Rhinolophus ferrumequinum: one gene and its partner. Each later gene encodes a partner of the first gene's protein in a complex. Links are inferred from orthologs where the notes say so. Each region holds a gene or a part of one and is shown on either strand. Other genes may lie near its edges.

Region 1 (10,628 bases):
TCCAAAAGTGAGAGACAATGGATGTTATGGTGACCAAAGACAGACACTGGTACCTCAAGAAAGGGTCTAAGTAGCCACCTGAAATTCCTTCACCTCATGATTTCTCTCTGACAATATCATTTATAGAACATATTTCAAACTAGAATATGGCTGCCTTGTGCTATAAAAATGACAACCTCTAAATTCCCAGACTGGAAAAATTGCCATTCTTCTATTTAAGATTTTAATTCCTTTTATGTACACAATCCTAAGCCAGAAGATACATACGAGTATACATTTGTAGAATTTACAGTTACAGAAATCTTTTAGCAACATGACACTTTGATATCCATTATCTGATTTGATCCTTACAACAGAATTGCAGTAGGTCCTCGAATAACTTCGCTTCATGAGAAAACATGTTGATGAGAAAACAAAAATCGATTCCTGGCCAGAGCCATTGTCTGTGTGGAGTTTGTATATTCTCCTCATGTCTATGTAGGTTTTCTCTGGGCACTCCAGTTTTCTCCCATGTCCCAAAGATATGCATGTTAGGTTAATTGCCATGTCTAAATTGTCCCAGTATGAGTAAATATGAGTATGAGTGTGTGTGTGAGTACACCCTGCGATAGAATGGCATTCTGTCCAGGGTGGGTTCCCACATTTTGCCCTGAGCTTCCAGGATAGGCTCTGGCCACCCAAGACCCTGAACTGGGAATAGGCAGGATGGAACATAATTATCTTACTTGCTTTTATTAATATTTCTTAAATGTATGTATGCTCACATTTATTTCAATGTTTAATATTAGAAGTGTTTTGGGTCTTTATTTAGAAATTTGGTGATGTTTTTGTGCCCAGAAATATACCATAGGAACTTAACTTTTGTGTATATCAATTAGCTTATGGTAATATTGATTTCGTTATACATCGTTTCGCTTAAAGTTGCAGTTTCTAAGAACCTATCAACGTTAAGTAAGGACTTAATGTATGTGGAAAAGCAAACTGGTATTGTGTGCCTTTACTTTCCAGATAAGAAAACTGAAACTCAGAGATAGTAAATAATTTGTCCAAGGGAACATAAGTAGTAAGCACTGACGTCAAGCCTAAAATACAGGTATTTTGACAGCAAATTCAGTTATTTTGCTAGTGCTATACTGATATGATCATTTAAACACTAATAAACCTACTAAACTGAACTTACTCTGAACCCAAAGTAAGATTTGGTGAGGAGGAGGGGGTACTTCCATTGAAGTAGAGCATATATACAGAAAAGCGTATTAATCTTAAATGAAGAGATCCATGATTATCACAAAGTAAACACACCCATATAACCATTGCCCAGGTAAGTAGAAGTCAAGTTTTCCTGTATCACTTGACCACCAGTGGAATCATATGGATGAACGTTTAACATCCAGCCATGCTCAACCCCGTCGTCCACTTAACTAAGAGCTCACCATACTGTTGAATGACTCAGGAAGGAGCAGTACTGTGGAAAAAGGCTGACAGAGTGAAAAGGTGAAACTAATTCAGAATGAACTGCAAACTCTACTCCCAGCATAGACGCAATGTAAATACTATTACATTAGTAACAAGGAGCTTGACAAGAAGTGAACAATAAATGTCTCTATACCAGTCTATCATGTGTGTCTCTTATTGGTGTATTTCTTAGCACCTTTGCCTACAGTACACCAGTGCACTATAACTCATGATTAACACAATTTTATAAATATATCTCCTTAAGTAGACTCTTAAAACACCTGGGTAGGGGTGGCTATCAACTTTATGATAAATAAAATTAAAGACACACTATAACAACTAGTTTGGAAAAGTCTACACAGGAAGCTGAGCTTATTAAATAATTATCTAAGCACACACCACAATCCTCACTCACCATGACTTGACGCACAAGCTTAAAGGTTTCACTCCAAGGTCTATTTTGGTTAAATTTTGCATGGAGCCGTTCCAAGAGAGAACTCATCTTACTCAGCTTTTCCGATTCTACAATATGAATCAGAAGACATCGTTAGAAACTCTTTCAAGAACTTCCAGTTTTTCTTGCAAATGAAATCCCCATACATGATCCTGGTAAGAACTTAGTTAAAATATTTTTCAGTATCATTTACTTGGAAACATACAAAGAATTTATTTTTAATGACAAGAAGACACACAAATTATGAGTCTAATCTAATAAATACCATAGACTGGAACTGCTTTCTATTCAAACTTTGAATGGGAACCAAAAAAACACACAAACAAACAACAACAAAAAACCTCATCTCTAATCATGTTTCAGGATCAAGACTACAATTTAGTGGCAAAATCATTTCATGATATGCATGAAATCCCTTGCGTGATACATATAGAGTATATATTTGAACATGGCCTTACTATGGTTAATTGATTTTCAATGTGAAAATACAGACTTTCTTAATTTTTTACATAATTTTAAGAGATCAATTTCTAAGTATTATCAAGAAAACATGCTTTGTCATTCAGATTTCTCCTATTTGAATTCAAACTAAATCTATATGGACAGGGAAGAGGTAAATGTCTAAAGGATGAGTTTCCAGCAGAGGTAAGAGAAAAGTAGAAAAAACTGGCTCCTGAACTGTGTGAACGAAACTCCTATGCCTTTAAACCCTCCTCTAATTCTTCTACTGCTTAGAATGAGCAAGGACCTGTAATACCGTGTTTCCCTGAAAATTAGACTGGGTCTTGTATTAATTTTTGCTCCAAAAGACGCATTAGGGCTTATGTTCAGGGGATGTCATCCTGAAAAATCATGCTAGGGCTTATTTTCCGGTTAGGTCTTATTTTCAGGGAAACATGGTAGAGACCACTGGCAATGCAAAAACACACAATATCCCTGAAATGACATGTGTGAAGGGGTCTGGATAAGTTTATGTGGAAATAACCTCAAACAAAGCAAAATGGGATATGCTCTTAAAAACAGACGCACATTATTAATTGAAATTCAAAGGAGAAAAAGTTAGTTGCAGGGATGTTACAGAAAAGGTGTCATTGAAAGACCAACAGAATATCAGAAATCAGAGTTGAGGCAGTGACACCTTCTAAATCAAAATTCAAACTCCTTCCTCCAATTTCCTCATCCAAAAAACTGGTTTTTGAGCTGTTGCAGCCAGTTTACAGTTCTGGACACATTTCTGGCTATTCCCACTTTCAAGACTCATTCACTCAAGCACTATTTTACGTGCTGGGGATACAGCAGTGAGCAAACTAGACAAGATTCCTGCCTCATTGAGTTTCCATTTTACACTGTCATTCCTCTGCACCCAAAGAGTAAACCTTCTTCCTCTCCTTCAAAACACATTCCCCATTCTTTTCTTGAGAAGCCTGATACATATCTTTATATGAATGCTCAAATCAAACTTTTTTTTGAGCAACTACTTATGTGCCAGCGACTATACAATGAATGATGAGTAAGGCAAAGTCCCTATTCTATAATACGAAGCTCAGAGTAAAGTGGAGAAGACAAGTGAAAAATACAGTGAACTGTATTACTACAACTATGTCCAAAATGCTAAAGAAGCATTTAAACTGGAGTGTAGAACTTTAGAAAATTAAGTAAGATTCCATAGAAAAGTTGTTTTCCAGCAGTTCTGAGTTAGCCCAGCCATTGAAAGAATGAAGTTCAACGCCTTTTTAAAAAAATATACAATAGCACAAGATCTGAACACTGACATTCTAGGGAACTGTTGGCTTTTAATATCATAAGGACCTAATCATTTCATTCATGCCAAAACATCCTCCAGTACTTGAACGAATAGCTCTTATTATTATGTCATTTATTCAGATGTCTCTTCTGGAACAGAGGTGTAAGCAGGTATTAGATTCACTCGCCTGGTCTCCCATAACTTTAGGATAAAAATGTCCTGAGGCCCAAATGATTGCCCCTATCTCAACAGGAAACCTTCACAGAAGTTGGGAGCCCCCATCACCCCAAAGTCGGAGCTTTGGATCACCAGGGAAGGCACAGTCAGAATCTGAAACTCACACAAATCCCGCCTTCGGGACTCGGCGCCGTCGGGAGAGTGGCCCCGGCGAAGGCATCGGACCCCCAGCTCCTCTCACAGATTGGCTTCCCCAGCTGTGTCCCGCCCCCTGCTTTCCCCTTCAGTCACTCACCCTCGGTTTCCCCCTGAGCCTTCATCCTGACGGGGAAGGCCTGAGTCCTACACAAGAGGATAAGCCCTTCCCCACCAATACCGGCGGAATCAAGTTGGTTCGGGCTCCCGGGACGCGGGGCACCAGCAGTCCCCACTCTTCCCGGGAAGGTTCAGTCTGAAGTCCCTGGCGGCAAGAAGAGAAGGGTGCTCGCGGCCGCCGCCATCTTCCTCAACGGAACTTCCCAAAGATCGCGAGATTAACCGTGATCCTGCGAGAGAGGAAAAGGGCTGGGCACCAAACTATCGCGAAAAATGGTTAATGCGGTACTTCTCGCGAGATTCTCCCAACATAGCTTTCTCGTGGCTTTAGGTTATCTTAGGTTTACTGCGGTAGGTATGGTACTTTCCCGTTGGTTGTGATCGGTTCCTCTTATGAAACCGGCATTTCATTTTGGCATTTAAGCAGTTCGCAAATTAAAATCCCCGGCTCTCTTTACTGAAAGACTAAGTTTTCGAAGAATATTGGTATTAGAGATGTTTTATTAAAGATAATACGCTTTCTTGGGATACTAGATGGAATAATTATGCCATAAAAAAGATATTGGCCCTTTGTAACACGACGTTCCACCCCAGTCCAGTACACTTAATTCCCATTTCCTTTTTTTTTTTTTTTAATTTCAGAAGTATTTTTTGAGCAATTACAGTATTTTTGAAGATCTAGGAGATTTTGGATTAAGGTAAACTTGTTTTCAACCTTATAGCATAAGATGTTATTAATTATACTTAGGGTCCCAAAGGTGTTCATAATTGATTGTGTCCTTTTTTGTAATCGTAGTGAAAACAAGCAGTTTAGTTTGTATTCTGCACCACAAGTCACAATGTGTAATCATATTTCTTGTATCAATAAGTCCTCATAAAGAGAAATTTGGAGTGATGCCGAGAAGTTCATGGCCACTGGAACTGAAGAACCAGGCTAAAATACAATAGTGCTAACACTGGGTAAAAGTTCTTAACATAGTTAAGGTTACTTTTTTTTTTTAAGTTCTTTTTCCATACAAATCCTTGAAAATAACTGGTGAAAAGTTTGATTTTTACCTAGTTTGTGGCAAATATATTAAGAATGGATTTCTACTAGCCACATCTCAGACTTTACCTATCCTATTTCTCTGAAAATAAGACCTAGCCGAACAAACAGCTCTAATGTGTCTTTTGGAGCAAAAATTAATATAAGACCTGGTATTATATCATATTATGTTTATCATATCATATATCATATCATATTATATTATAAAGACCTGATCTTATAGTAAAATAAGACTGGGTCTTATATTAATTTTTGCTCTAAAAGACGCATTAGAGCTGATTGTCCGATGGTCTGGCTAGGTCTTATTTTGGGGGAAACACGGTACATTTCAAAAATGTTAAGCAAACGTTCTCCTAAAGCCATGCCAGCAGATAACTACAGTTCAGGTGAGCAGGCACAGCAGCGTAAATTTATTGAGAATAAATCTGGAAATGTCTGGAAACATGTTTGTCACCACAAAGTTATATATAACCATGCTCCTTGAAAGTAGAATTCAGATGTATTGCTTGTCTATTCCTCTTACCCCATTCCTTTGAGTCACTACACAGTTTCTTGGGGCAGGAATTTCCCCTCATTTTTAGGACCCCATTATCTAGCACTGTACCTAGGCTTAGTTAGGCAAATCTTTTACTGGGCTTGCAAAGCCTTGCTAGACCCAGCTCTGCTCCCCTTGCCAATTCCCCCAGCCACATTCGCCTTCTTTTATGTGCAGAAAATTCCTACACTCCTCTCCTTAACTGCTAGGAGGGCCTCCTCTGCTGTCTTCACCTCACTAAGACCCTCTTATTCAGATTTCAATTTAAATGTCTCTTCCTCTAGAGCAGAGAAGCAAGCCTTTTCTAACCCCTGACTTAATCAGGTCCCCTGTTATATTATCTCTTTAATAATACTTAAACCATCAAAATTAATTAAGTCCATAATTTGTTCAATGCCTGTCTTCCCTCCTGGACTGTCAACTCCAGGAAGGCTTGCACTGGGTCTGTTTCTTTCACTGCTATCTACTGACATTGCCAAGCCCAGCTCCTGACACAAGTCAGAGACTCAATACATATTGTTGGGATAAATAGAGAGGGTCTCCAGATAAAATAACAAAACACTTAAATTTGAATTTCAGAAAATCAACAAATATTTTTTAGTATAAAAGTATGTTCCAAAATTATTATATAATGTAAATCTAATAACCTTAAAATTGATGAAGTACAGAGAGCATTTATCGAAGTGAGAATTTTCAAAGATAATTCATATTTAAAATTCCGTTTCCTTTTCTGTTGTCAAAGTGCTCTTCATTCAACAAGCATCTATGGAGTCCTAATACTTGTGTATTAGGAACTAGTAATATAAACATGAAAAAGCAGCCCCAACCCTTATTTGACTCATTTGATTTAGAGTTCTGAAAATCTGATTGGTTACTATATTCATGGGTACTCAAAAGAATTTTTGTTAATTTATTATTATGCCCAAAGTATTAACGTTAGATACACAGCTATACTTCCTCATGGAAACTCTCTGTACAGATAAACAATAATGTCTGTATTAAGTGTAGCTAGAAAATTTTAAACCTTATAAAGCTTGAAAATAGAGTAAACTTGACCAAATTTTGGTCACAGAATAGAAGTTATCATTTCTCATCTGAAATGACATGTAAAATTTGTACTCAAGTAAAAGATACCATTCAATACAAAAAAGCATAAAAGGTGCACATAGGAACAATCTTCCTACGTGGCAAGAAGAAGACAATGCGTACATTTTAAATGACTAAGCTTTGAGGGAGACTAAACTCTTTAAACCTAAAATCTAAACTAACAAATTGGTCTGTGTGGGGATAAGAAGTTACTGTAACTTTAAATATTTTCTCTTGTGTACAGGCTAAAGAGAAGCTTTCTGACCTGCTGTGGGAATTTACAGGGAAAGTGTAATCATCACCTGACTGATCATCTTGAGGTTCATACAGTTGCCCTGACTCCCTGCCCTGACAGGTCATGCAAATAAAGCAAATCAAGCAGTTTTGGAATTTCTCAGTTCAAAGTTTTCTGTAGAGTGAAGCAACACTTACACAAAAGCACTATTCTCACCAGTTGTTGGGCCAATCAGTGTGTGTAGTTTAGAGTAGATTTTGTATTTTAAAATTTAAACAGAATCTGAGATTTCCTAGAATAGATTTTTTCCCAGCTGTATTGAGATATAATTACATTAGAGCAGAATTTTATCCACCAAAAGGAGAAAGTTTAGTGCAATAGAGTATTAGCCTAGGTTTAAAGAAAGAGAGCTGTCCCTGTTTCTGGCACTAACTAGTCTTGGTGTAAACAAGCTCCAATTCCTTCTGAGTCTGTTTCATCCATTAGTAGATGCATATAACACCCATCCTGGCCACCTCACCAGGTTATTTCCTTGTTCAGCTGATATTTATTGACAGACTTAAACGAGTCTTGTAGAAAATTAAAAAGTGCTACAGAAATATAAGAGATTATAAAAATTCAGAAAAAGCTTAATTTATTCATTAGGGATCTCTAGTCTGCTTCAATAGGCAACAGATAATTAATCTTTATAACTATAAATAATGCTGTTTAATTTGGATGATTTTCTTTTTCAAGATTTTATTTGACACATGACCATGATTCCTTCCACTTTTCCATTTTACTATGAATGTGGGTGTATCTGGGTCAAAACCTTCATCTCAATTAAAAGTTAGAAAAAAAATCAGAGTAGTTTTGCTGAACTCAGACCAATATTTAATAAGGTGGGCCAGTCACATCTAATTGGCCTATTTAGTCTCATGCCAGCTGCCATCATGTCAGACACTTGGGGGAACCTTTACATCCAGGCCCTCTTGCAGCAATGTTGGGGAGATACCACACCTGAGTTTCAGTACTTAATTCTATCCTCTATTTTTTTTCTTTTTTCTTGATAGCATTAATTTTGCTATTTCCATAGATAATTAAAAAGTTGATATGAAAAGCTTGGTCTTTTTCATTTGTATTCAAGATTTATGGACTTAAACGTTCAAGTAAAAACTTTTTATTAGTACCCATGTAACCAAAGCAACAGGAACATTTTCAGGGAATGATTTTGAAAGTGGATTCTTCTACCTTCATTCAGAATGTTTTCTGACTCCTAATTTACTGGTTGATCTTCCCATCTTTGCATATACAAATCCTATTTACTCTTTCTGGCCCAACTGAAATGCCCTTTTATAAAGCTTTCTCTTAACACTCCCAACCTCATTTTGAACATCCTCAGTGCTCTGTATCATTTCTGTGACATTTATTACCTTGTATCTTGTGGTATGAATATATTATCATTATCCTATTTGAGTGCCCTGGGTGGGTAATACAACACAGAGAAGGGCCTTAAAATCTCACATATACATGTGTTGAAGAAAAGAATGAAGCGTGGACAAGTCACTTAACTTCTCTGTGCCTTAGTTTCCTCTCACAACCCTATTTTGTAGGATTGTTGTGATGGGATGAGTTAATGTATGCGAAGGAGTTCTGAAAAGTAAAAAATGAGGGGCAGTGTAAGATACTATTTTTTCAAGGTTATTAGTATTATGTTTTTCTTGTTCATAATTATAATGTGTGACAATAAAAGGCTAAATAATTCCAGAAGAGCTGTACGTGATCCCAAGAGGTGATGAACTTTCAGGTTCTTAGATTGTTAAGCAGACAGGAAAGAATGCCACACAAGCTTAAGAGCTTGTGCTTTTGTGTCAGACAGGAATTTGAATCTCTTCTTTGGCACTTGCTGGACTAGCTTTGTTACCCTGGGTAAGTTATTTAACTTCTCTGAGTCTGGGTTTCCTTATCTGTAAAACAGGGATGAGGATATCCTGTTTGGGCCATAGTACGTACGAGAATTACAGATAATGCACGTATTGTACTCTATATAAATGATAAGCATTGTTAATACTTAGGGAATTAGGTTGAAATGTCCTTACATTCGCCCTTTGTTCTGTTGACAATATTTTCATCCCGGTAGTTATAAAGTATGCAAAAATTAGTTTCCGCCAAAGCCTGAAAATATTTGTTCAATGAATTATCAATAAAGTTTTGAATTAAAAGAACCTTCTTGCTCCGTTTCAATCAAGCTTTGATCAAATTGAGTGAGGAGCATATCGCGAGAATATGACGGATCGTGTTTTGTGCTCAGGACCTGTTCTCGCGTTGTTTGATAAAGCAGTGAGAGGTGGAAAGGAAGCGCGAAATACCGCGAGCTTAGTGGATTCTCGCGAGAGTTTTTGGGATTGTCCCCTCCCCCCTCCCTCAAGTACCGTTTCGGTTTAACCTAGTGTGTGACTGGGAGTCTGTGAGGGAGCGAGTGAGTGTGTGAGGTATTGAGGTGAGGCGGAGGCAAGAAAAGGGGCTCCCTCAGAAGCGAGGGACAAAGGGGGCGTGGGGCCGCGGGACCCCAGCGACCGGAAGCCGCCCCGAGCCGGGCTACCGGGTAGGGGAAGGGCCCGCGCAGTCCTTACAGGGCCCCAGAGCCGGAGTCGGCCCCACAGCCCCGGGCCGTCGGCTTCCTACTTCCTCGACCTTCCCGGCCTCCGGGCTTGAGGACTGGCTCGGCGGGGGGAGGAGGGCAAACAGACTCGAGCAGCTGCCCGTTGTCTCGCAACTCCACTGCTGAGGAACTCTCATTTCTTCCCTGGCTTCTTCACCCCCTACCTCATGTAGGAGGGTGCTGAGAAGTCGGGAGGGAGGAGGAGCCTGTGCTACCGTCCTTTCCCTCCCCACCCCCTTCTAGGGGCGCTTTGGTAGGCGTGGGGTTGGGGTTGGGGGGGAGGGTGGGGGTTACTTTTTGGAGTGCTGGGGAACTTTTTCCCCTTTTTGAGGCCAGGGGAAAGGGAATGCCCAATCCAGAGAGACATGGGGGCAAGAAGGACGGGAGTGGAGGAGCTTCTGGAACTTTGCAGCCGTCGTCGGGAGGTGGCAGCTCCAACAGCAGAGAGCGTCATCGCTTGGTGTCGAAGCACAAGCGGCACAAGTCCAAGCACTCCAAAGACATGGGATTGGTGACCTCCGAAGCAGCACCTGTGGGAACAGTTATCAAACCTTTGGTGGAGTATGATGACATCAGCTCCGATTCCGATACCTTCTCGGACGATATGGCCTTCAAACTAGACAGGAGGGAGAATGATGAGCGTCGAGGAACTGATCGGAGTGACCGCCTGCACAAACATCGTCACCACCAGCACAGACGTTCCCGGGACTTACTAAAAACCAAACAGACAGAAAAAGAAAAAAACCAGGAAGTTTCCAGCAAGTCGGGATCGATGAAGGACCGGATATCAGGCAGTTCAAAGCGTTCAAATGAGGAGAACGAGGACTATGGGAAGGCACAGATCTCCAAAAGCAGTAGCAACAAGGAATCCAGGTCATCCAAACTCCACAAGGAGAAAGCCCGGAAAGAACGTGAGTTGAAGTCTGGGCACAAAGACCGGA
Region 2 (11,469 bases), on another chromosome or scaffold:
ACTGAGCTATTCCAGTGAGCAAAAAGACAAAAAATTCTGGACTCAGGGGGAGACAATTAGCAAAACACATACCAACTAAATTACCTAGAATGTTAGAAAATGATAAGTGCTATGAAGAAAAAATGAGCAGAGTAAAGGCAATGGAATGTGGGGGTCAGATTGCAGTAGTAAAAGGGTGGCCAGGGTGAGCCTCCTTGAGAAAGGAATAGGAAGTGCAGGATGTGAGAGATAAGTCATGAGACTATCTGGGGGTCAATAGATAAAGGCAGACAGAGTAATCAGTGTGAGGGGCCCTTAGACAGGGTTGTCCTGATGTGCTTCAGAACCAGAATGGCTGGAGCAGAGTGAACAAAGGAAATTAAAGAAAGGAAGGTCAGAGAAGTAATACCAGGTCAGATTATGGCAGGCCTCATAGCTCACTGTGTTTGGGATTTTTTTGTTTAAGGAGAGCACAGCTCACAGTGGCCTATGCGGGGATTGAACCGGCGATCATGGTGTTATTAGCACCACGCTCTTACCAACTGAGCTAACCGGCCACCCCTCATTGTGTTTGGTTTGTACTCTGAGTGGAATGGGGAGCCATGCAGACCTTTGATTAGACGAATAACGTGATCTAACTTGAGTTTTAAAGATGATAACTCTGACTGCTGTGTTGAGGATAGTCTGTAGATATCAGGGAAGAAGCAGAGAGAACAGTTAGATGGCAATTTCAGAAAACGCAGGTGAGAGATGATGGAGGTGCGAACCTGCAATTAGAAGAGGAAAAGTGAGAAATGAACAAGTGTTCTGGCCTGAAGGCAGAACTATCTTGATTTCTCGATGGATTGGATGTGATGTATGAGAAACCAGGAGAGGAGTCAAGGATAACCCCATGTTTTTTGGGGTTTTTTTTTTTTTGCCTGAACAATGAAATTGAAGAAGTTGCCATCAGCTGAGTTGAGGGAGGCTGCAGGAAGTGTGGTGTGGGTGGATGAGGGACGTAGAACAGGAATTTGCTTACGTCCTTTAGACACCTAAGTGAAAGAACCTAGTAGTTGTTTTCAGAGTCTTAGGAGGTTGCAGCACCTCCATCAACAACAAATGCAATCATAGTTATTGGTGCCCACTCTGTCAGACAGTGTTCTGGCACTACACCAGTGAGCAAAATAGATAAGAAAGTCTCACCTCATGGGGCTTACATCCTTGGGGAAGAAGTTGGCTATATAAGCCTGAATTCAGAGGATAGGTCTGGGTAGGAAATAATTTGGGAGTCAGTTTACAGATTATACTTAAACCCACTGGACCAGATGAATGATCAAAAGTGAGTGTAGATAGAGATGAGGATAAAGAAGTGGCCCTAAAACACTCTTTTGTTTAGAGGTCACGGTTGAGAAGAGGAACCAGCCAGACAGATTAAAAGAGACCAACCAGTGAGGGAAGAGAAAAGTGAAGAGAGTCTGGCATCCTAAAAAGCAAGGGAAGAAAGTGTTATCAAGGAGAAGGGGGTGATTGATGTGTCCAGGGCCACTGAGAGACCAAACACAGGGAACGGTGAGCAGCATGGAGGTTTTTGATGACCTTTACGAGCTGAGTTTTGGTGGGGAAGTGAGAATGAAAAACTAATTGGAAACAGTATAAGGAAGGAATAGAATTGGAAACAAAATATTTAGATAATTCTTTGAAAGTGTTTTGCTGCAGAAGGCAGCAAAGAAGTAGAGCAGTTGTTGGTGAGTAAAGTGGGGCTGGGGTTTTTTTAAATTAGAAAAATAGCAGCAGGCGTGATGATGAGAAGGAGTAGAGGATGAAAACTTGGTAAGATGGGAAATGGGGTGAACTGCTGGTTCAGTGTCTTTGCAAGGGAATGGAACTATGGGAGAATGTACTCTGGCCAGGTGAAGTTCATGCGCAGTAGCTGGCAGAACTGTGGGTGCAATGCTGATGCGTGGGCAAACGTGGTGGTGGTGGCAATCTGTACGAGTCCTCTCTTCTGATTTCTCCTCTTTTCTCAGTGAATTAGAAAGCAAGATCTTATAAGTTGAGAGTGGTTAGGAGTGGTTTGGAGAAAGGAAATGGTGTGAAATTGGGTCAACAATGTGAAGAGGGTCTAAACAAGGATATACAGTTTGTCCAGTAGCGTCAAGGGCCCACTGCGGGTTTGGGGTTTGGAGTTACGAATTTCAAGTATAACCAGTTGACTTGCTTGTGTTTTCCTGCAGCCATTTTCAGTTGCATTTGTACAGGCATGTGGTATGTAGTAAGCAAGCTGCATTCAGTCTAGGGTGTCATCTTGCCAAGAGAGTAGGACAAATCAAGACAGGGGCAAGGAAGTCAAAGATTTATGCAAGGCAATTTTAGAAATCTCCAAATACCCTTTGACTTACAACCCCTCCATATTAGTTGGCTAGGGCTGACATAAAAAACCAGAGACTGGGTGGTTTAAACAACAGACCTTTATTTTCTCACAGTCCTAGAGGCTGTAAGCCCAAAATCAAGGTGTTGGGTTGGTTTCTTCTGAGACTTTTCTCCTTGGCTTGCAGACGGTCACCTTCTCACTGCATCCTCACATGGTATTTTCTCTGTGTGCCCACATCCCTCAGTGTGTTCAAATCTTCTGTCCAAATCTCCTCTTCTTATAATGGTATCAGTGGGATTGGATCAGAGCCCGCCCTCAGGCTATTATTACTTAACTTAATCACTTCTTTGAAGGCCCTACCTCCAAATACAGTCACATTCTGAAGTCCTGAGGGTTAGCACTTCACTGTAAGTATTTTGACGGCATACAATTTAGCCTCTAACTCTATCCATCTATGTAAGGCATCCCAGATAGTCACCTCAATGCAACACTGTATTTGTACAGGTTTGCTTTAACTTTCTGCCCCCACAATACAAGTTATACAGACTCTGCCTTTGGGGCCCTTCACGTAAAAAGTGTTGTTTTTCTAAGAGTTAGGGTTGATATTCTTCCTACTTTCTGATGCTTGCAGATTATTTTAATACACAGTAAAAAATATATTTCATATTTGTCTCAGTACACACATGCATAAATATATAACTGAAAAAATGTCTACAAAGCAGTATAATGCACTTTGATGTTTTAGAAATTTTCTGTTCCATTCCATTTTATTTTTAAAATCTCTACAGAGATGTCGGTTAGGCATCTCAAACAAATGGCAATCACATAGTTATGTGTAAATACGAGTACAATAATGTAAGCATTGATTATGGATTTAACAAAAAAAAAAGGATTTTTTCTATAGAGAGGATAGAGGAAGGGAATGGGATATGTTAGAGAGATAAGATCTTTGTTCATCATACCGGGACAGAAATAAATCTCTAAAAGTGTTCAATAGACATAGAGAATATATGCATATTATGTAAAAATATGGAAGCAAAGCAAAGAAGAAATAATTGAAAATGTTGCATGTGGTTGCTGCTATGGAAAATGATATGACAGGATATGGGGGTTGGGGAAATGGAGAATGAGAACATTTTTGTTATCTTTTGAGTTATCTTTGAGTGCTATATTGATTAGAATAAAAAATGACTTTAAAAAAAAGACATAGTATATGCAGCCACCTCTTCTCCTGACTCTTAGGAACAGGCCTGGTAGAGTTTCTTGCTGCACATTCAAACCTCCACACCAAACATTTGTAGCTTTTTACACAGAATTCTAAACTGTGCATTTCACAGTGCTTATATTTTAGACCAGAGGTTCCCAACCTTTTTTTCAGTAAATGAAGACACTTCCTTCTTTAAACGAGACAGGATAACCAGTAGCTAAGAGCATAGACCTTGGAGAGAGACCCTGGGTTTAAATCCCTGTTTTGCCACCTACTAGCTGTGGGACCTTGGGAAAGTCTCTTAACGTCTCAGCCTCCGAGCTTCATTATCTGTAACATAGAGATAATAACAATACTTACCTCTGGGAGAGTTATGAAAATGAAATGAGTTCATTTTTTTTAAAGTGCTTAGAAAGAACTATGCCTAGCAGGTTAAATACATAAAATTTCACAAGAAGGTAGTACTTATCCTTTTGAATCTATAGATGGAGAAAATACACTCAAAGTTACCATGAATTTGGTTATTATAATAACAATAAAATATATAAAATATTCATATTTAATTACTATATTATAAATAATTCATATTTTATTCATCACAGCTAGATCTGCAGTTTGCAGAAGAGTTTATCTGTAGGATATGCTATTACTTTATCAGTCTATAGACAATATTCAACGTGCATATAAATTTGCAATAACTTTGAGGTCTAGAATTCACAAAACACATATAGTGTCCGTACATTGACCCCCTCAATGCCCGTAAGGTAGCGACTATAATTGGTCATTTTAAATTGATTAGAATCTTCCCAGAATTTTTATGTGGAAGCTACATTAATATGAGCCTCTTCTCTTCCTGCCAGAATTATGGCCCAAGGTGAACCTGTGAGAGTTGAGTAAACAAATCCCACATAGACGGCAGGAGTTTAGGCCCTTGGAAAAGTAACATAAGATATTATTGACTAGAGCTACTGAGAGGCATGCTTAGAATACAATTGTAACTAAGAAAGCTTAAGTCTAATTTATTCCATTGCCTGAGACTGTATTAATAGAAGGTAAATCTAATTTATTCCATTGCCTGAGACTGTATTAATAGAAGGTGTTAGGAGCAGAAGTGGGGGATGGTTAAAAAACAAAAGTGTCCACTAGTCTTTTGCATTGTCTCAGGGAGGAGGCACCCTGACCTATGAACACAAATATTCCAATCTCTTTAACAAATATCCCTACCCTATGAAGATGCAAATCCTGATGATTGCATTAATTCTTTTTTTAAAAATCTATCTTCACTTGTTCTGATCCAAGTTTATAAGCAACACTTTGGTGATAATTTGGCTTTCTGTGTAGGTTTGTCTATGAGTAAAATCATGCTCATTGTAAGTGAATAAATCAGCATTCTGGATTATATAGCAGTTGCTATGAATGAATTTATTTAGCATGAGTCCCTGAGGGAATCCTCAGCTCTGGGTACCCAGCAGAAGGACAGATCAGAGGACAAGATGCTAGAATGAGGGGACCACCGTACTCCTGCCTCATTCCCAGCTGTTGTCTGTAGCTGATCTCTCCCCATCTCATCTTTTCTAACTGCAATTTGACCCGATGCAGAACTCCCATTCCCAATACTGTTATAGCTTTGGGTTTTCCTGGTAGGAAAGTCCCCTACTACATTGTTCTCCCCCAGAAAAGTGGGCTAAGGTACATTTTTGGCTTTGATACTCAGTTCTGATTTGGAATTTGTGCTACACCAATTATTTAAATTATTTTCATTAACTACCACTTACATACTGTGTTGATTCATTCAGTTCAACAGTCATCTTGAGCAATGAGCAACACATTTTGTTGGGAGATACATGATTATAAAGATGGATTACGAAAATGTGGAAGCAACTCAAATGTCCAGCAACAGAGCAAAATGTGGTGTATATACACAATGGAATATTATTTATCCTTAAAAAGGAAGGAAATTCTGACATATGCTACAATGTGGATGAATCTAGAGTACATTAAGCTCAGTGAAATAAGCCAGTCATGAAAAGACAAATACTGTATGATTCCATTTATATGGGATACCTAGAGCAGTCAAAAATCACAGAGGAAGAAAGTAGAATGGTGTTTCCCAGGCGCTAGGGGTATGGAGGAATGGGGAGTTGTTTAATGAATACAGGGTTTCAGTTTTACAAGATGAAAAGAGTTCTGGAGATGGATGGTGGTGATGGTAGCACAACAATATGAATGTACTTAATATCACTGACATGTGCACTTATACAGTTAACATTGTAAATTTTGTTACCTGTATTTTACCACAATAAAGAAAAACAGCAGGGGAAAATAAAAAGATGGATTATGGTTCCTGTGCTAAGGTGCTTACAGCTCCTGAGAGGCCAAACGGTAGGGTGGGATTAGTGTTAAGGAAATGAAAACTAAAGAGAGTTTAATACTGATGAGACCCCGCCCATTTCACGAAGAAGCTGATACAAGAGTTAGGCCATTACGTAATTCCTTCAAAGCTTAAAATCCGTTGAGCAGAAGCTTCCCATTCCAACTTGCAGAATGGAAGGTGCAGTAGAACCTGACCCAGTTGCGCCTGCCAGCTGGGGTTGGATCGCAGAAGCCCTCTCTGGCCCAGCAGATGGCGCAGGCGTCCGCAGTGAACCTCCAGGCCCCTAGGCGGCGCTGTGACCGGGCCTCTCTGCCCCTCCTCGGTGACGCTTCCTTCCGCCTCCCGAGCCCGCCTCTCCTCACCAGCGCACAGCTGCGCAGACGCCGGCTGCGTGCCCGTGAGGAGCATGGCGGCGTCTTCGAGCGGCGAGAAGGAGAAGGAGCGGCCGGGATGCAGCTCGGGAACGGCGGGCGGTAACAGCACGCGGGAGCGACTGCTGTCTGCGCTGGAAGATCTGGAGGTCTTGTCGAGGTAATGTCGTCGCTTGAGGACCTGCCTCAGGGTTGGCGCTAGTTCCAGGGGCTCCGCGGGGAGGGTGACCCCCGCGCTCACTTCCAAAGACAGCGGCGAGGTTGTCGTGGACGTGGCGTCCGCAGCCGTCGGGGACTTCCAGACGGCATTCCCTCCCCCCCGCATACCCCCCTGCCAGAGGACGTTTTAATAATGACCCTGGAACCCCAAGACTGCCAGAACCGTAGCAGACCATAGAGATCGCCTGGTGTGAGCCCCTTCGACCACGGACACTCTAGAAACATTTAAAAAGCTACTACCGGCTGTCAAGGGCAGGGACACGGTAGTGAGCGGGGGACTAGATGTCCGCGAGAAGGAGCCCACTCGCTGTCAAGGGGGACAGACGTGTAAACAGATGACAGGCGCGGAACCGGTTTTTATCAGAAGCTTGCGCTGCGCGCTACTGTAATAGAGCAGGGGGACGAGGCGCCTGGCCTGGTCGTAATCAGAGTAGGCTTCCTGGGGAAAGGACTGCCTGGGAAGAACGAGTTCACCAGATGCACTAGGCGGCAGGTAGCAAAGGCCTGGGAACCTGAGCACGCGCGACGCGGTGGAATGGCAGGTTTGGGACGGCTGGAGTGCAGTGTGCATGGCAGAGGTATGAGATGAAGTTGGATGTCATTCTCCGGATTCTGTCATCTTTCATGATAGCCTGTCAAGTTGGAGGCTTCCTTAATTCCCTCACATTCACTTGGATGTTAAAATTGTTTGGGTTCTTCCCCCTAAACTGTCGCTGAGATTGGACCTCTTGTTCTCATCCACACTGTTTTACATCCTATTCTTAACTGTTAAATAATGCGTTGCCTACGGGCGTCTTCTTCACGTTATCATTCTATTTTGCCCAAGAACAGGGTTATCTTTTAAAGAGGCATCTCGAATTACTTTTCTGCTTTAAAATATTTGGTAGGTTCCCATTGCCCGATGAGATAAAGTCCAAACTCTTTAGCTTAGTGTGGGATAAAGCCATTCTCCATTTCCTCTGAATTTATCCATCCTCTTGTTCTCATTTACATCCACATCCCTCCGACCTCCCTACCCTTCACTCCAGCCTCAGTGAATGCTTTCTATTCTAAAGTTCTACTTCCTCATCTTTAGTGCCATTCCCACTCCACCTCCAACTTGATGAATCATTCATTCATCCTTCAGAATCCAGTTTAAATGTCATCTTTTCTGTAGCCAACACTCTTGGACAGTTATGTTACCTGACCCTACTAATGGTCAGCATTTTATCTGCTGTGAATTTAGTCCTTGCTATGGCATGCATTACTTACCAGATGAGTAGGTCAGCATGATATTAAGTGATGTAATAAAAACACACACCAGAAGTTAAATAGTTTATGGGTTTAATCCACTGTTTAGACTATTAGACTCAAATGCTGCCTGACTACAAATAGAGCACGTGGAATCTACAGACAACCAGCAGTCAGTACAGTGAACAAGAAACTCAGAGGCATAAGGCAGCTGCCTTAATGTGTTGCCTCTGTGTAAATGTTTACACAGATGAATGTAAACGCTATTTTCTTCTGTTTTTGTTGGTTTTGTAGTTCCTGTCAGAAACCTTGTCAGTTTCCTTTTTCAGTTAATCCTGTCAATGAATACCAGCATGATTTCTTAGTAAAAAGACACTAACAAGACAGCGTTTTCACGATAAGTTTTTCGTTCAATTATTTATGTCTCTGCTCTGTGTAACATGACTCTTGGGGACAGCTAGTTGAAGCTTCATTTAGTTCACGTTCAGGACTTATTCTTTTTAAGTTCTTAAACACCAAGTTAACATCCCATACACACTGACTAGCCCACTACTTTTCTAAATAGGGCCAACTGTCATTTGCAGAACAATGCATTCAACCTACCTGCTTTTAGAATCACTGGTCATCCAAACTGGGTCTCTGAGTACTTTGAAGTACCTTGAATAGGCAGCCATGTAATTCTGATGTAAATTTGTGTTCCATTAGATTCAGAGCAACTAATGATTAATTGGAAAATACCTCTGTTGCTCCTGTTTGAGGTGATTTTTCCACTTCCTTAAATTCTGGATCGTGTTCTATTTGAAATGGTCCGTTGAGCTATATCTTCTTTGGGGAGACTGCTCACCTGACGGCCAAGTCTAATGCTTGACTGGCTTCTAACGTCTTTGCAAAGGAATCTTGATGATACTGTCACGTACGAAATTGAGTTAAAATGTTTCTTATTATTTATTCATTTTGACCAAGCATATGGAATGGATGGTAGTGATTAATTTTTCTGTAAATATGTTGACTTTATAAAGACGTGACACCCCCTTTGGGAAGTAGTGACTGCTGCCTTTTGTTCTGAGTACTTCTTAGTCTTAGAATTTCAAATCTTTGCCTTAGCGTATTCATTGAGTATATTCAGTGTCTCACCCTTCTGCTCTGGAGCCCAGTAAATTGATTTATTTTTGAGTTTTACTTGCTGTAATATAATTTGTTGGTCTGTTTTTCTGAGTAACCCTAGTGTATTTTATATTTCATGTTTACTAAGTTCAGGAATTGTTTCTGAGTCTACTTACCAGACTAATGGTCTTGGAGAATTTCTTCTGACCTTAGACAACCCAGCGGTCAATCTTGAGTTCTTGCCTGTGGATCGCTGTGGCAGTGGGCTGTGTATCTGAGGTGTGTTTTCCAGATGCTGTTGGTACGTGTAGGAGTGCATATAATTGATATTCATGTACTCTCCACTTGAGATAACATAACTAATTTATGTTATGTTAAATTTGAGACTAAATTGAAATTCTCATATATCCAGATTTGACCAGTTTATTCCTCTTTGTATTTGATTCTTTCCTTGATTATCAAGTATATAGCATTTTCTGTGTGAAATGTATTTATTCACTGAAGTAATGAATCATCATTTAAATTTTCCTGAAGAACCTCAATATTTGTGAAACTTTCTCTTTCAGCTTTTCAGTTGTACATGAACAGTTGAGGTACTGAGTCCTCTTTTGCTTCCTCTAAAAGAAGCTGTAATTCCTCTGTTGCTCTCTTTCCAGGAATGCCGAAAAGACCGATTTGTTATTTGTAGTCTTCCTCACTGAATCTATTGATAAATTGGTGATAGGCTTCTTTCTTTCTGTAGGCTTCGGTAATAACCATTGTCTTAGAAGTTCATTTTTCTTTTTCTGATTTTTCTCATGACTTATCTGCCATGCTGTTTTATTTGTTCATGTCTAAAGAAAGACTGTAGGTGACAGTAGGTAAGTGAAAATTTACCTCTTTTATTATCCTGGAGGTGGTGGTGGACAAGAGTCTTGGTGGTTTGCCACCTAAGACTGATTGAAACTTCTCCATAGAATGACGCTACTCCAGTGTAATTGGCTTTCAAAAAAGTTGTATTATGTGCCCATAGTGCATATACTGATTCTGTGATCTGTGAAGTTTGTCATTATCCTGTAAATGAAACTTCTCATTACATTACATTTTTAATGAAAAATGAAAAGAAAAATTCCTCACTAATGTAACCTCTGACTTTTCAAAATAGTAGCTTTGAAATTTGGAATATAATTTTTACTGTTAACCTGATTATATAGCTTTTCAGTATATTTATTACTTTGTAAAACGTGACAGAATAAGGTAGTCTTTGGAGGAATTTTAAAAATGAAAACTTACAGATAGATTGTAGTCAAAAAGTTTTTCTTAACCTGTTCGTATAATAACTCAGAACTCATTGCCCCACAGAAACCCTGTTGATAGGAATCTTGAGATTTCCACACCAGTCTATTAATTCTGTTTACCTCTAATTTACCTGAGGTGCGATACAGTTGACCCTTGAACAAGGCAAGGGTTAGAGGCACCCATTCCCCATGCAGTCGAAAATTCGCTTATAACTTTTAACTCTGGGTTTATTTTTGTATTTTATTGTTTGTTATTCTTGTCACCTGTGTTAGAATTTAAGTGCCATTGTTTACTTGTATAACCCACACATCTAGAAAGTGCCTGACACATAATAGGCACGCAAGAAATATTTGATGAATGAGTGAATGAAGACTTTCCATTCCTGTATCCACTTTTTTCATTATTTAGCTAATTAATTCATACACAGTGCTGTGGGGAATTTTGGGTACGGTTGGCACCATCCAGAAAAATAATATGAGGCTAGCAGGAAGGAAGTTGGAAATAAGAAGGTAAAAATAGCCTGGCAACCAGCGGAAAGGTACAAACACTGGGGCTGACTAGTGTCACGTAGCAAATTGCGAAGCTGTCGCTTCCTGCATAATTTCTGAAAAATCTCATCTGTCGACAAGTTTGGAACTAATGTATAAATATTACCTGCTATACACTTTTTCCTAATCTATATAATAGTTTTCGTATAGGGTTGGCATGTTTAGTAAATGAGCTTCCCAAGTAGATATTATTATATATAAGAATCCCTCTTACCTGATACCTGTTTGGTTAATTTTAAAAAATTTTAATTAAAGTAGAAAGTCATTAAAAAATGATACATCCATTTCTTGTTCTATTTTCCCTTAAAACATATAAATTTATGTTTTCACTAATTTTTTCATAAAAGACGAGACAGAGAACTTTTTCTATGAAGGGCCAGACTAAATATTTTTGGTTTTGCAGGTCATAATTTCTCTGCTGCAACTACTCAGCTCTGCCATGGTAGTGGGAAAGCAGCCACAGACAGTAGGTAAATAAAGAGGCATGACTGTCTTCCAAGGAAGCCTTAGTTATAAAAACTGCAGATGTGCTGGATTTGGCCTGCAGACAGACCCCTGATGTAGTAGTTTTTCATACATAAACCACCCATAATGCATTGGCTGCAATTTCTAGTTTGGGTCGTTTCAAGTGAAATGAGAACTTAGTCTCTCATCAGGTATTCTTAGGGCAGACTCTGCTGGGTTTTTGACTTTCTCCTGGTTCTTTACAGTTGTCCTTTGCAAACCTCTGTAGAGTCTTTCCAAGCATTTGGCTTCAATTTTTATAGAAACAGCTCTTTCTGTTTACAATCATATTTCATTGGTAT

Evidence for each region. The genes of interacting proteins can lie anywhere in the genome.
Region 2: MED1 (region 1) and MED4 share a complex: the UniProt entries of both Homo sapiens proteins name them as parts of the mediator complex. The link is inferred for Rhinolophus ferrumequinum from reciprocal best matches to the Homo sapiens genes MED1 and MED4.

What each region holds. Positions count from the first base shown.
Region 1 is NC_046304.1:36,119,752-36,130,379, forward strand, and holds the start of MED1 (mediator of RNA polymerase II transcription subunit 1), read right to left. Parts: upstream 4,354-10,628; 5' UTR 4,151-4,353; coding exon 4,126-4,150; intron 1,978-4,125; coding exon 1,871-1,977; intron 1-1,870. Other genes in the region: CDK12 (cyclin-dependent kinase 12), read left to right, coding at 10,034-10,628. UniProt on the Homo sapiens protein: Component of the Mediator complex, a coactivator involved in the regulated transcription of nearly all RNA polymerase II-dependent genes.
Region 2 is NC_046287.1:89,286,208-89,297,676, forward strand, and holds the start of MED4 (mediator of RNA polymerase II transcription subunit 4), read left to right. Parts: upstream 1-6,248; 5' UTR 6,249-6,319; coding exon 6,320-6,444; intron 6,445-11,081; exon of another isoform or gene 11,082-11,133; intron 11,134-11,469. UniProt on the Homo sapiens protein: Component of the Mediator complex, a coactivator involved in the regulated transcription of nearly all RNA polymerase II-dependent genes.